3 linked regions of the Notamacropus eugenii genome follow. The protein of the gene in region 3 purifies or fractionates together with the protein of the main gene of each other region. This does not show direct contact. Links are inferred from orthologs where the notes say so. Each region holds a gene or a part of one and is shown on either strand. Other genes may lie near its edges.

The links.
Region 1: the proteins of USP22 (region 3) and TADA3 purify together in Homo sapiens (affinity purification with mass spectrometry; 5 studies listed by BioGRID and IntAct, with this or other methods). This does not show direct contact. The link is inferred for Notamacropus eugenii from reciprocal best matches to the Homo sapiens genes USP22 and TADA3.
Region 2: the proteins of USP22 (region 3) and TAF10 purify together in Homo sapiens (affinity purification with mass spectrometry; 4 studies listed by BioGRID, with this or other methods). This does not show direct contact. The link is inferred for Notamacropus eugenii from reciprocal best matches to the Homo sapiens genes USP22 and TAF10.

What each region holds. Positions count from the first base shown.
Region 1 is NC_092874.1:435,652,517-435,656,259, forward strand, and holds the start of TADA3 (transcriptional adapter 3), read left to right. Parts: upstream 1-996; 5' UTR 997-1,135; exon of another isoform or gene 1,136-1,137; intron 1,138-3,743. Other genes in the region: ARPC4 (actin-related protein 2/3 complex subunit 4), read right to left, coding at 528-530. UniProt on the Homo sapiens protein: Functions as a component of the PCAF complex. The PCAF complex is capable of efficiently acetylating histones in a nucleosomal context. The PCAF complex could be considered as the human version of the yeast SAGA complex.
Region 2 is NC_092876.1:88,821,273-88,825,015, forward strand, and holds the start of TAF10 (transcription initiation factor TFIID subunit 10), read left to right. Parts: upstream 1-847; 5' UTR 848-954; coding exon 955-1,162; intron 1,163-1,610; coding exon 1,611-1,768; intron 1,769-2,226; coding exon 2,227-2,291; intron 2,292-2,433; coding exon 2,434-2,548; intron 2,549-2,808; coding exon 2,809-2,898; 3' UTR 2,899-2,934; exon of another isoform or gene 2,935-3,257; coding exon of another isoform or gene 3,258-3,407; intron 3,408-3,510; coding exon of another isoform or gene 3,511-3,641; intron 3,642-3,743. Other genes in the region: scaffold protein ILK, read right to left, coding at 3,258-3,407, 3,511-3,641. UniProt on the Homo sapiens protein: The TFIID basal transcription factor complex plays a major role in the initiation of RNA polymerase II (Pol II)-dependent transcription.
Region 3 is NC_092874.1:378,784,749-378,788,491, reverse strand, and holds the start of USP22 (ubiquitin carboxyl-terminal hydrolase 22), read left to right. Parts: upstream 1-1,253; 5' UTR 1,254-1,329; coding exon 1,330-1,449; intron 1,450-3,743. UniProt on the Homo sapiens protein: Deubiquitinase that plays a role in several cellular processes including transcriptional regulation, cell cycle progression or innate immunity.

The sequences.
Region 1 (3,743 bases), about 57 Mb from region 3:
GTCCAGTGCAGGGCTGGGATCCAAATCTCGGTGCCCCATCTCCGAACCCTGTTTTTTCATGCCCCACCCCTGCCCACTTCCCCTTCTTCACTTTTTGCTCTTGCTGCCCCTCCCTGCTCCTCCTCCATCCCTCTCAGTCTTCGGGTCTCGCTCTATCATCCGCCCTCCGCGCATTTGCCCCTCTACTCATCCATCCCTGCATCCCCCCAGCCCCTGCTTCCCCCCTCCTCATCCTCCCCTTCCTCCCCCGTGCCCTCGATCCTCTACTCCCCACCCCCCGGGACGCCCCCTCATCCTCTCTGTGCCCTTCTGCCAAGTCCCTCATCCGCCCTCCGCGCCTTTGCCCCAGCAGCTCTCCCAGCCCCAGGGGCCCACTCAGGCTCCTCCCCAGTGGACCTGCCTCGGCTCCCCCACCGTCCCCTGATCCTCCTTAGCCCCTGGGAAGCCTCGGCTCCCTCCCCAGCGCAGCGTGGCCTCCCTCCCCTTGCCCCCCCGAGGATCCTCAGCGGACGCCCCCCAATTCTCACCATTGCTGGGGCTGGTTAGGCCGGAAAGCGGAAGTGCAGGAGTGCACTGGCTCCGGGGCGCCGTCTCTTCCGGGAGCCGGGCCTGGGCGCTACCACCGCTGCTCCAAGGGCAGGGGGAGCTGGAGCGAAACAACGACAGCTGTTCTCCTCTTCCCCTGAAGCTCGCAGGAACCCCTTCTCTCCGACGCTGGAAACCCTTCTTCAGGGCCTGACACGATGAGGGGAGCTCTGCCGTGTCTGTCCTTCCCTGTCACCCCTGCACCCCCCGCCTCTCTCCCCCTCCCTCAGCAAGAAGGTACAGCCCAGCTCGCCGTTCTGTCTCCATATTAGGACAGGGCCAGACACGGGATGGCCCCGCCTCTTCCGGTTCTGACCCCGCCCGCCCGTCGTCTGTTACTGCCCAGGCCCGAGCCGCCTAGGCTCCCCAGCCTCGCCCGAGAGTGGGCCCGGCCCCTTTGCACCACCCCCGGGCCGCAGTGGGCGGCTCCGCCTGTCCCTGCAGGGCCAGCAGTTACCTGAGCTCGTGGACCTGGCCCCTCCACCCGCGAGGGACCGAGGCCGGCCGAGCGAGCGCCTCGTGGGATCCGGATAGAGCTCGGGCTGTGAAGGTGGAGGCGGGACCGGGGCGTGGGGAGTGGGCGATGACACGGGGAGTGAGGAGGGGCGGGGGCTGTGGGGCTGAGGGAAGCGAGGGGAGGGGAGGATGGCTTGGGAAGGGGGGAGGGGGCGTGGAGGGGAGGGCCCATGGGGGGCTGCAGGGGAGGGGAGGGGAGGGGAGGGGAGGGGACGTGGAGGTGAGGGGCCATGGGGGGCTGCAGGGGAGGGGAGGGATGTATAGAGCAAGGGACTTGGGAGTCTGCAGGGGAGGGGAGGGGGTGTGGAGGTGAGGGGCCATGGGGGTGCTGTATGGAAGGGAAGGGGACGTGGAGGTGAGGGGCCATGGGGGGCTGCAGGGGAGGGGAGGGATGTATAGAGCAAGGGACTTGGGAGTCTGCAGGGGAGGGGAGGGGGTGTGGAGGTGAGGGGCCATGGGGGTGCTGTATGGAAGGGAAGGGGACGTGGAGGTGAGGGGCCATGGGGGGCTGCAGGGGAGGGGAGGGATGTATAGAGCAAGGGACTTGGGAGTCTGCAGGGGAGGGGAGGGGGTGTGGAGGCGAGGGGCCATTGGGGGTGCTGTATGGAAGGGAAGGGGACGTGGAGGTGAGGGGCCATGGGGGGCTGCAGGGGAGGGGAGGGATGTATAGAGCAAGGGACTTGGGAGTCTGCAGGGGAGGGGAGGGGGTGTGGAGGCGAGGGGCCATTGGGGGCTGCAGGGAAAGGATCAGTAAAAGGAATGCCCCTAATTCTGTGTTGGAGAAAGATGGAGGGGCAGGTCTAGGAGAGGGAATATGTGGAAGGTCAAGATTGGATGGCAGGAAGCAGGACCCTGACTCCATCTGCCCCTTCTCCAGCCCTCATTCTTCTAGACACTCTCAGTTGACAGTGCAGCGCTCTCTTCCGCTGGGTTTTGTGTCCCTTCTTTGTTCCACCTCTCCTCAGCATCCTTTAAACAACTGAATGACCACTCATTACAGACATACTAGCACATACCACATTGTCTAGTCAACAGACACATCTTTGTTATTGAGCAGTTGTGACTTCCAGGCACTGTGCGCAAGGGCGGGTAATACAAATGCTGGTGCAAAGGAAAGCCCTGTGCAGTAGGAGCTTCCACTCTGACAAGGGAGATGCCTTGGAAAGTCACAGGGCAGTCTGGGGAGAAATGAGACTGTTGACCTAGGCAGTCCTTCTTAAGTAGGAGTTCTGTTGGGAGCCATCCAATCAGAGGAAGAGGCTTCCTGACCCGGGCTACTTCCAAAGTGGGAGTTCCTGGACTGGAAAGAGGCTCTAGGTTGGGGGCCTGGTAGAGGAAGTCCAGTACTTAGCCTGGAGATGATGACCACGTTGGAGATACAAATATAAGACAGTGCCTGCTCTCAGGAGACTTACATTCTAATTGGGGGAGTTAATGAACATGGAAACTAGGGAAGAGAGCTTTGGTCTGAGGATTCACAGGGATGTGAGTTGTTGTACATAGGGCAGTCAGTTGACCTGTCCTTTTCAGAGGCAACGGCACTCTTGGTTTGAATACTGTGCCAAAGGTAGAAAGTTGAAGAAAGAAGGGTGCAAGGTGACAGGCAGATGGCAAGATGGAAGGCTGAATGGTATCTGATTGCCTGTTACTAGAAACAACGTGGACTAGGTTGCACTTACTCACTCACCAGTCAGGAGGACTGGGTCTGAGTGCAGAAGCATCATAGCTCACCTATAACTCTGAGCATTCTCTAGGGCTGTGACTGAGGTTCACTTCTCTGCATGTTTTTCCTTGGTGATAGCAGCTCCCATAGTTCAACTGTCATCTCTCTTACCTCTTAGAAAAGACTTTTCCTGATTTCCCCTAGTTGTAATCACTCCCTCCTCCAAATTATTTTGTATTTATTTTATGGGCATTTTTGTATTTATCTGTACACATATTGTTTCACCTCAGGAGGTTGCAGCTGACTTCCCAATCTCACATTGAAGGGTAGCATGGCATAGTGGATAGGCACTCACTGTACCTGGAGTCAGGTGGATCTGAGTTCATTTCTTCCCTTAGACGTTAGTTGTAGGATCCTTGACAATTCACTGAACCTCTCTCTGTTTTAGTTTTCTTTGAAAAGCGGAGGGTGGGGAGGGAAGGATCAGATTCCATGTTATCTAAGGTTCTTCCTAGCTCTCAGTCTATGATCCTATGAAATCCAGCTCTCACATTTGTTAGATCTGTCTCATTAGTCGCGTGCTAGACATCTCCAGGACATGCTATAGCCACTGCAATCTCGACATGTCCAAAACATAACTTCTTAACTTTTTCCTTAGACCTCTCCCTCCTCCTGCCTTTCCTGTATCTGGTGAGTATTCTCGCCATTAGGCCATGCTGCCTCTCCCTTTTGTATCTGGGAGTCAGCTTCATCTTCCTGAGGTGAAACAGATTAGCACAAACCCCACTGTCCTTCCGATCAGCCAGGTGGGGCTCGTTGTCTCATATCTCGTATTCAACCAGTTGCCAAGTCTTGGCGATTTTGCTTCCATAGCATTTCTCAAATGTGTCCTTTTGTATTTACTCCCATGCCCTTCTGTGGCTCCCTGTTGCCTCTAGGACAGAGGACAACTCCTCTGTTTGGCCTTTGAATTCCTCCA
Region 2 (3,743 bases), on a different chromosome or scaffold from region 3:
AAATATAATTATAATATTTGATATTATGTGACAAAAGCAGTAGGGTTAAAAAACAAAGGCTCTACATCTGTGACACGTCATCAGCCTACAACGACTCACAATTTTACAGCATTTTAAAAGTAGCATCGTAAGGGACGGAGCAGTGTTTTACACATTATCGTTGCTCGTCGGTTGTGTCCCACTGTTCACAACCCCATTTGGGGTTTTCTTGGCAGAGATAAATGGAGTGGTTTGTCATTTACAGATGAGGAAACTGAGGCAAATCAGGTGAAGTGACTTGCCCAGGGTCACATAGCTGGTAAGTGAGGCCAGATTTGACTCAGGAAGAGAACTTCCTTATTCCAAGCCCAGAGTTCCATCCACTGTGCCGCCTAGCTGCCCATAAGAGGCTAAAAGTAACGTAATATGGAAATGAGCTGGATGCAAAACTTTACAAAGGAGACGTAAACCTGCCAAAAAAAAAAAAAGTTGGGATATAATCCGTTAAAGCACAAAGTGCACAGTTTAAAAATTAAGGCTTTTGTGCACGTGGGCGCAGCAAACAGATGCACTGGGGCCTCGCAGTGGCCTGCAAGCACTCAGGGTTAAGGCGGGGCCTAAACCGGGCCCTCACCCGAGGCCCAGAGGGAAGTTCACAGTCATCTCAAGGCCAAAGGGCGGTTTCCACGGCAACGCAGCTGTTCTGCAGACCCTCTAGCCTCGCGCCTCTCTATGGCCCAGGGGGCGGGGCGAAAGAGGAGCGCTAAGCGGGAACCGGGGGGAATCCAAGACAGGCCATTGGACTCGGCGTCGCAGTTGCGCCGGCGAGATGGGAGGGTGCGGCTTGGGCCGGAAGTAGGCGGAAGTCGCCTGAGGGGAGAGGAAAGCCCGTGAACGGAAACGGAAGCGGAAGCGCTTCTGTCCTAGTCCTCGGTCTCCACTTCCATCCCCGCTCCCCGCCTCCTGCCCGGCGCCATGAGTGGCAGTGGCGCGGACCCCGAGGTGGTCCCAGCCCCTGCCCCTGCCCCGTCGGGCCCGGCCCCGACTCCCATCCCCACCCCCGCTCCGGCCCCGACCCCAGCCCCGGCGCCGGCGCCCGCCCTAGCCGAGAGCAAGGCCAGCCCCGCGGGAGGCGCAGGCCCCGGCCCCGGCCGGGGGGATACATCCGACCGCCGGGCCTCGGGTGAGCGGGGAGCGCGGGGGGAGCGAGCCAGGCCCCGGATGGGGTGAGGAGAGCTGGAGGGAGCTGGGGCTCTCACGTGGGAGGCATCAGCGTCGGAAAAAGTGGTGCTGCCCAAAGCGAAGCCGCCCAGCCCCTGGCTCTTCAAGGAGAAGCTGGCGGATCCCTTGGACAGCGACCGAGGCTTCCTGCCCTTGAGTCTCCGAAAGTCCTGGGCTGGGCTGGCTGGGATGGGAGCCTTCCGAAGCGCTGGGGGAACGAGGGGATGGAGGGGGTGGAGCTGAGAAGTGCGAGCCCACCGGACCGAGCGTTAGGCACCTCCAGGCCCGCAGGTCCACACTACTAGGGGGCAGTAGGGACTTCTTTGGAGTTAAGCATCGGCTTCCTCGACAAACATTCCCCCCCCCATTCTCAGGCTCCATTGAAATTCCTGTTATCTGTCCTTTGCCAGTCCCAGTGTCTGCAGCTGGGGGTACTGCCCCCCCTGAAGGTGCCATGTCTAATGGGGTGTATGTGTTACCTGGTGCTGCCAATGGAGAAGTCAAGCCTGTTGTGTCTAGTACACCTCTGGTGGACTTCCTTATGCAACTGGAAGACTACACACCCACAGTATGTATAACCATTCTACCAATTAACTTTTTTTCAGTTCCCTGCAAGCTTTTCCTGGCCAACCTATTGCCATTTCCTCATCGTTAATTTTTGTTTAGCTATGAGATCCTTCTTTCCATCTCTGCTGTAATATCTTTGACGAGCAAAGCAAAAAACTTGTCTTTTCCACGTGTCTCAGTTGGACCCTAGTTTACAGCAAATGATAAATTCTCCCAAAGGCTCTAGTTTCTTTTAAGCCACTTTCTACATGAAGCTTTTCGTTTACTAAATCCTCCCCTCTCCTTCTATCTATAGATGTGTGTGCATGCACATATTCCCACCCCCACCCTTATACTGATTAGACCATAAACTCTGAAGTTGGGGACTGTTTTTGATACCGTTTTTTGTATCCCAAGTGCCTAGCATAGTGCCTGATACAGTGTGTACTTAATAACCAATTAAAAATTTGTTGCATTCAGATTCCAGATGCTGTTACTGGCTATTACCTGAACCGTGCTGGTTTTGAAGCCTCTGATCCTAGAATGTAAGTGATTTGGGACAGTAAATCCAGTCCCCAGCATCTATCTAGTGGGCATCTCTGGCTCCTTCTTGTACACCAAGTACAGATTTCAACTTGAGGGAGGGCTGGTTTTATCCCCACATGCCAACTCCTTCTACCTTCCCAGTGTCCGGCTCATCTCCCTGGCAGCCCAGAAGTTCATCTCTGACATTGCCAATGATGCTTTACAACACTGCAAGATGAAGGGCACTGCCTCAGGCAGCTCCAGGAGCAAAAGCAAAGTGAGTAGATGGAATAGGCTGGTGATGTGATCAGTGCTCCCCTGGGGCTCTTGGTGGAATGTGGAACTTCAGAACCTTTCTGCTGGCAGGCTTCTTTAGCCCTGTGAAAGCCACAGGGATTATCATCATCCCCATTTTGTGCGCATAGAAACTGAATCCAAATTGGTTAAGTGATTTGCCTTGGGAATGTAACATGTTAGTACAAGAATCAAGACTACGTCCCTGGCTCACACTACTGCTCTTTCAACTTTCTTTCCAAGGACCGAAAGTATACCCTGACTATGGAAGACCTGACCCCTGCACTCAGCGAGTATGGCATTAATGTCAAGAAGCCACATTATTTCACCTAAGCTCACCTCTTCCCCGGCTGGCCGGGATGTGTGTGGGTGTGTACACATTTGTCCCATTCCTTCCCCACCCACCCCCACACCAGCCTGTTTTCGTAATAAACCTTTATTGTGACTGAGGCAGGTGGCTGCTCCTCCCACATTGGGAAGACACCCAGAAATGGGGCTTGGCGTGATGTGAAACAAAGCTGAGCCTACCCCCGCCCCCCCCAAGGTTGGCAGATGGGGCAGGGAGGGTAGCCCCTAAAGCTGGGGGGGGGGGGGGGGAGCTGAGGTGGCTGTACCGTTGCCAGGGGAGGGAGGGGCCCTGAGGCCTGCTGATGGGAATGGGGTATAGGTATACCCCATTCCCCCATGTGGCTCTATTTGTCCTGCATCTTTTCCAGGATGGGCACAATCATATCAAACTTGGGCCTCTTGGCTGGGTCCTCATTCATGCAGATCTTCATGAGTTTACACACATGTGGGGAGATACCTGGAGGAATGGTGGGTCGAAGGCCTTCCAGGGCAACCTACAAGCAGCAAGAATCCCTAGGTTCAAGACTTCTCTCTGTCCCATAAATCTGCTTCTACCCTCCCTTCCTCCCTTAACATGCCCCCCTGCATCTTCCAGACCTTCATGCCAATTTCCATGTTGGAGAGGTCAGCAAATGGTACCTCCCTTGTCACTAGTTCCCACAACAGCACTGCGAAGCTCCACATGTCTGCAGAACGACGATTAATCTCCTCTGGCTTCTTCTGCAGGGCTGGGTCAAGGGGAGAGGATTGGGATAAGAACCCTGATTCTTTCCTTGTCTCTCCCCACCATCCCTCCTACCACCCCCCCCAACTAAATCTGCTGTCTTCTG
Region 3 (3,743 bases):
CGCCTCCTCCGGCCCCAGCTTTCCCCCAGCCCGTCCCTCCCTCGCAGGAAATCACTGGGGTAACTGAGAGAAGCCGAAGGCAGAAGCGGATATGACAGCAGCGCTGCTCCCACAACCCAGCCTGCCGCGGGCGGGCTCAGCTCCCAGACGGAGAGGCGCGGCCGGCCAATCCCCAGCCCGCACACGCCTCCTGCGGGGGGCGGGGGGAGAGAGACTGGCGACTGCGCCCTGAGTTTGAAATGAAAAGAGGGCGGGGCCGCGCCGGACGGACGGCGGCCCTCACCAATGGGTAGAGCCGCTGGCTGCCCCGACGGGAGTGACGGGAGAAACAGGCCCGTCGCGGCGTCACAGGGGCGGGACTCGGGGGGTGCCCCTTTTCCCTCCTTCTCTGCCTTCCCTCCTTCCCTCCCCCCTTGGGCGTCTGGCGAGCTAGGTTGGTCGGGCTTGAGGGAGCGGGGAGAAGGAGGAGGAGAAGAAGAGAAGGGGGGTGGGGAGCGGGGGGTGGTTGGGGGGGCGGCGGCGATCGGGAGCGGAGAGCGCGGCGGAGCGATTTAAAGAGACAGCGCGGGCGGGGGGAGCGCAAATAAACACCGGCCGCCCCCGACCCTCCCCATCCCCCCCTCCCCTCCCCTCCCCCAGCCTCCCCTCCCGCCGGCCTCAATGAATTAGAGGAAGCGGGACCCGGGTGGCAGCCGCGGCAGTGGAAGCAGCAGCAGCGGCGGCGGCAGCAGCAGCAGCTGCAGCAGCAGCAGCGGCGCCGCCGCCTCAGCCTCAGCCTCGGCCGGGCTCAGCCTCGGGGGCCGGGGCAGCGAGCGAGCGGGCGGCCGGAGGAATCCCGGGGGCGTCGCCGCCGCCGCCGCTTCGCCTGCCGCTCGGTTAAAGCCCCATCTTTGTCTGCCCCCCTCCTCCTCCTCCACTCCTCCTCCACCTCCTCCTCCTCCGCAGCCGCGGCCGCCGCGCTTTGTTCCGAGCCGCTTTCGCCTCAGGCCGGGAGGGAGCGGGGGACCCTCCCCCGGGTCTATGTGCCCCCCGCGCCGCCCCCCGCAGCAGCAGCCTGAGCCCCGGGAGGAGGCGCCGCCGGACCAGGAGGCGGCGGCGGCGGCGGCGGCGGCGGAGGCAGGGTTTGGGCCGCGGAGCTGAGCCGGAGCCTGAGGAGGAGGACCCGGCGCGGAGCGGCGGCGGCGGCGGCGGCGGCGTCCCACCCCCCGGCCCCGGCCCCGGCCCGAGCCGCCGGAGCCGTGCCCCCCCTGCTGCCGCCGCCGCCGCCCCTGGCCCCGGCCCCGGCCCCGGCGCGGCCCCGGCGGCGGGTGCCTGGATGTGGAGTTTGTCATGAGTCCGGCCGGCTGCTCGCATGTGAACAGCTTTAAGGTGGAGAACTGGCGGCAGAACCTGCGGGTCATCTACCAGTGCTTCGTGTGGAGCGGGACCCCCGAGACCAGGAAGCGCAAGGTGGGACCCCCGGGCTGCAGGGGAGCTGCCTTCCCACCCGGGGCGGGGGGCCACGGCTGCACGGGCTTGCATCCCCTTCCTGGGCGGGGAAGGGGAAGAGGGTGTGGGGCGGTGGGGTGGGACGGACGGAGGGAGGGAGGGGAGAGGGGAAAAGCACCTTAATCCTCTGCACCCCCCCTCCCCGGGGCCGGGACGGCCCAGGCCTGGGAAGGGGGGTGGAGAGATGAAATGGATGGGGGTGTGGAGGGGAGGAGGGGGCGGTGGCTCCCCGCAATGCCCCCCTGTCCTTCCTGGCCGCTTGGAGCTGGGAGTGGGAGGCCTGTGCGGGGGTGAGGAAGGAGTGTGTGAGTGTGTGTTTCAGTGGGCGTATCAGATCTGGGGGAAGAAACCGTTTACTTATTTTTTGGGGGGGTCCCCCACTTCTCATGGTTTGTGATTCACTTGGATGCAGGCACCAGCGCAGGAAGGATCTCCCCTAGGCTGAGCTCTGGATTGCTACTCGAGGGATTCAGGGTTTCCCAGCATAAGACTACTGCAAGAAAGCGTACAAGGGAGGAGGAAGAGGAAGGAGGGGGGTGGGGTATTTAAAAAAAAAAAAAAAAAGAAAGAGGAAGGAGATTCTAGGCACATCTGGTTGGGGGTCTGCAGAGGATCCTGCCCAGAGAGCCGGCCACCTTCCTGACTCAACTCAGGGTCCAGTGTCATCAGTGATGGACTGTGGGGAGGTCACCTGGGACAAGGAAACTGAAAGAGAGAACTGGATCTGTAATTCACTGTGTGTCAACGACTGGTGAATTACTAAGATGTAGTTACAACTGAGGCACTTAAGCAAACCGTTTCCTAGTCCAGGGTTTTGGATAGGTCCAGATGCTGGAAGCCTGCGTCTGCCCTTGCTCTCCCACTTTTCCCCCTACCCCACCCCCCATTTAATATATAAAATCGGGAGTAGAGTGTAGAGGGTGGGGTGTCTGCAAGAACAGTAGCAGGTCAAGCTTAAATAAAAAGTACCTTAGAAAGGGCAGGAAGACACTGTGATTAGAAATAGCTCGCTTTATGCCTGACAAAGAGAAATAACTTAATATCTTCTTAGCAAGAAAGTAAGAGATTGTTTTTGAGCATATTTTCAAATTCGTATCCCCAGATTAGATTCTTGTAAAGACATCCCGTTCGTTTGTTAATTGGAATTTTATTAACTGTTTTGCAGCAAGATCAGAAAATGTTTATCCTTATCTGCCTCTGAATAAACTGTTCTTTTTTTATCTTACTCTAAGTGATTTTGCAGATTTCAGTCTGACGTTGGTGACTGAGGTGAAGAATGCATCAGCAGTGCAGGTAGCAACATTGGCTATTCAGGACAGCAGGGATGAAATCTAATATTTTACTAATTGTAGAATTTGGGTTCAGTCATTTATCAGTGTGACTTTTCAAATCTGTTTAAAATGGTGGCTATTATAATGTGAAATGGAATATATTAAGTTGTTGCTTAAGTATATTCTGGTGATTACTTTGAAGTAGGTTTTTATCTTTTTTAAGTTTATTTAAATATCTGTAAGAACAGATGGGACATAAAAAGGTGTCCAGGAAACTTTCCTTACCCCAGTCCTCCAAATGAAAGCAATAGAAACATATGAACTGTAAATTGACAAGTTTAACTTAAAAAAAATAACAAGTTTTCAGAGGCTAAAGATTGGGAAAAACACTCATTTTGTGTCTGCACAAAACATTGTAAGCCAGTCTACTTTTAAAACTATAAAGTTCCTTGAATGTTCAGGTAATATTTGCCGTGAAAATTCATTATTAAAAATTATATTCTGAAGTTAAGGGGAAGTGGGGAAAAGCATTTTGTTACCAGTTCTTTGCAACAGTTATCTGCTTTGATGGGTTGGGCTTGGGAAAAGGGTGGGGGTTGGGAGCAGGAACAATAGACAACACACCAACCTGAATGTTAGGGAATATTGTAGTTTAGGGCCCCTTTTAAGTGTTTGTGTATAGTAAAACAATAATGTAAAAGATGCTCCAAAGCAGCATTCTTTGTGGGATGACTGGTGTGAAATAGACTTTGAGGGGTGGGCATGGTTGTGTGTGTAATTTCAGGAGACTGTTTAAAAATGACTCTTTAATGGATTGTGTGTGCTTTTCTTAAAACATGTTTCACTGTGTGAAATGAGGCATGATGGGGACTGGTTTTCTTTAACCAGCTGAAAAACTGAGTGACCCTTTTAATTTGTCTTGTCTGCAAATGTTTCTCCATGTAATTGTTTGCCTGATTAGAGGCCTAAAGACTTATTTGCTAT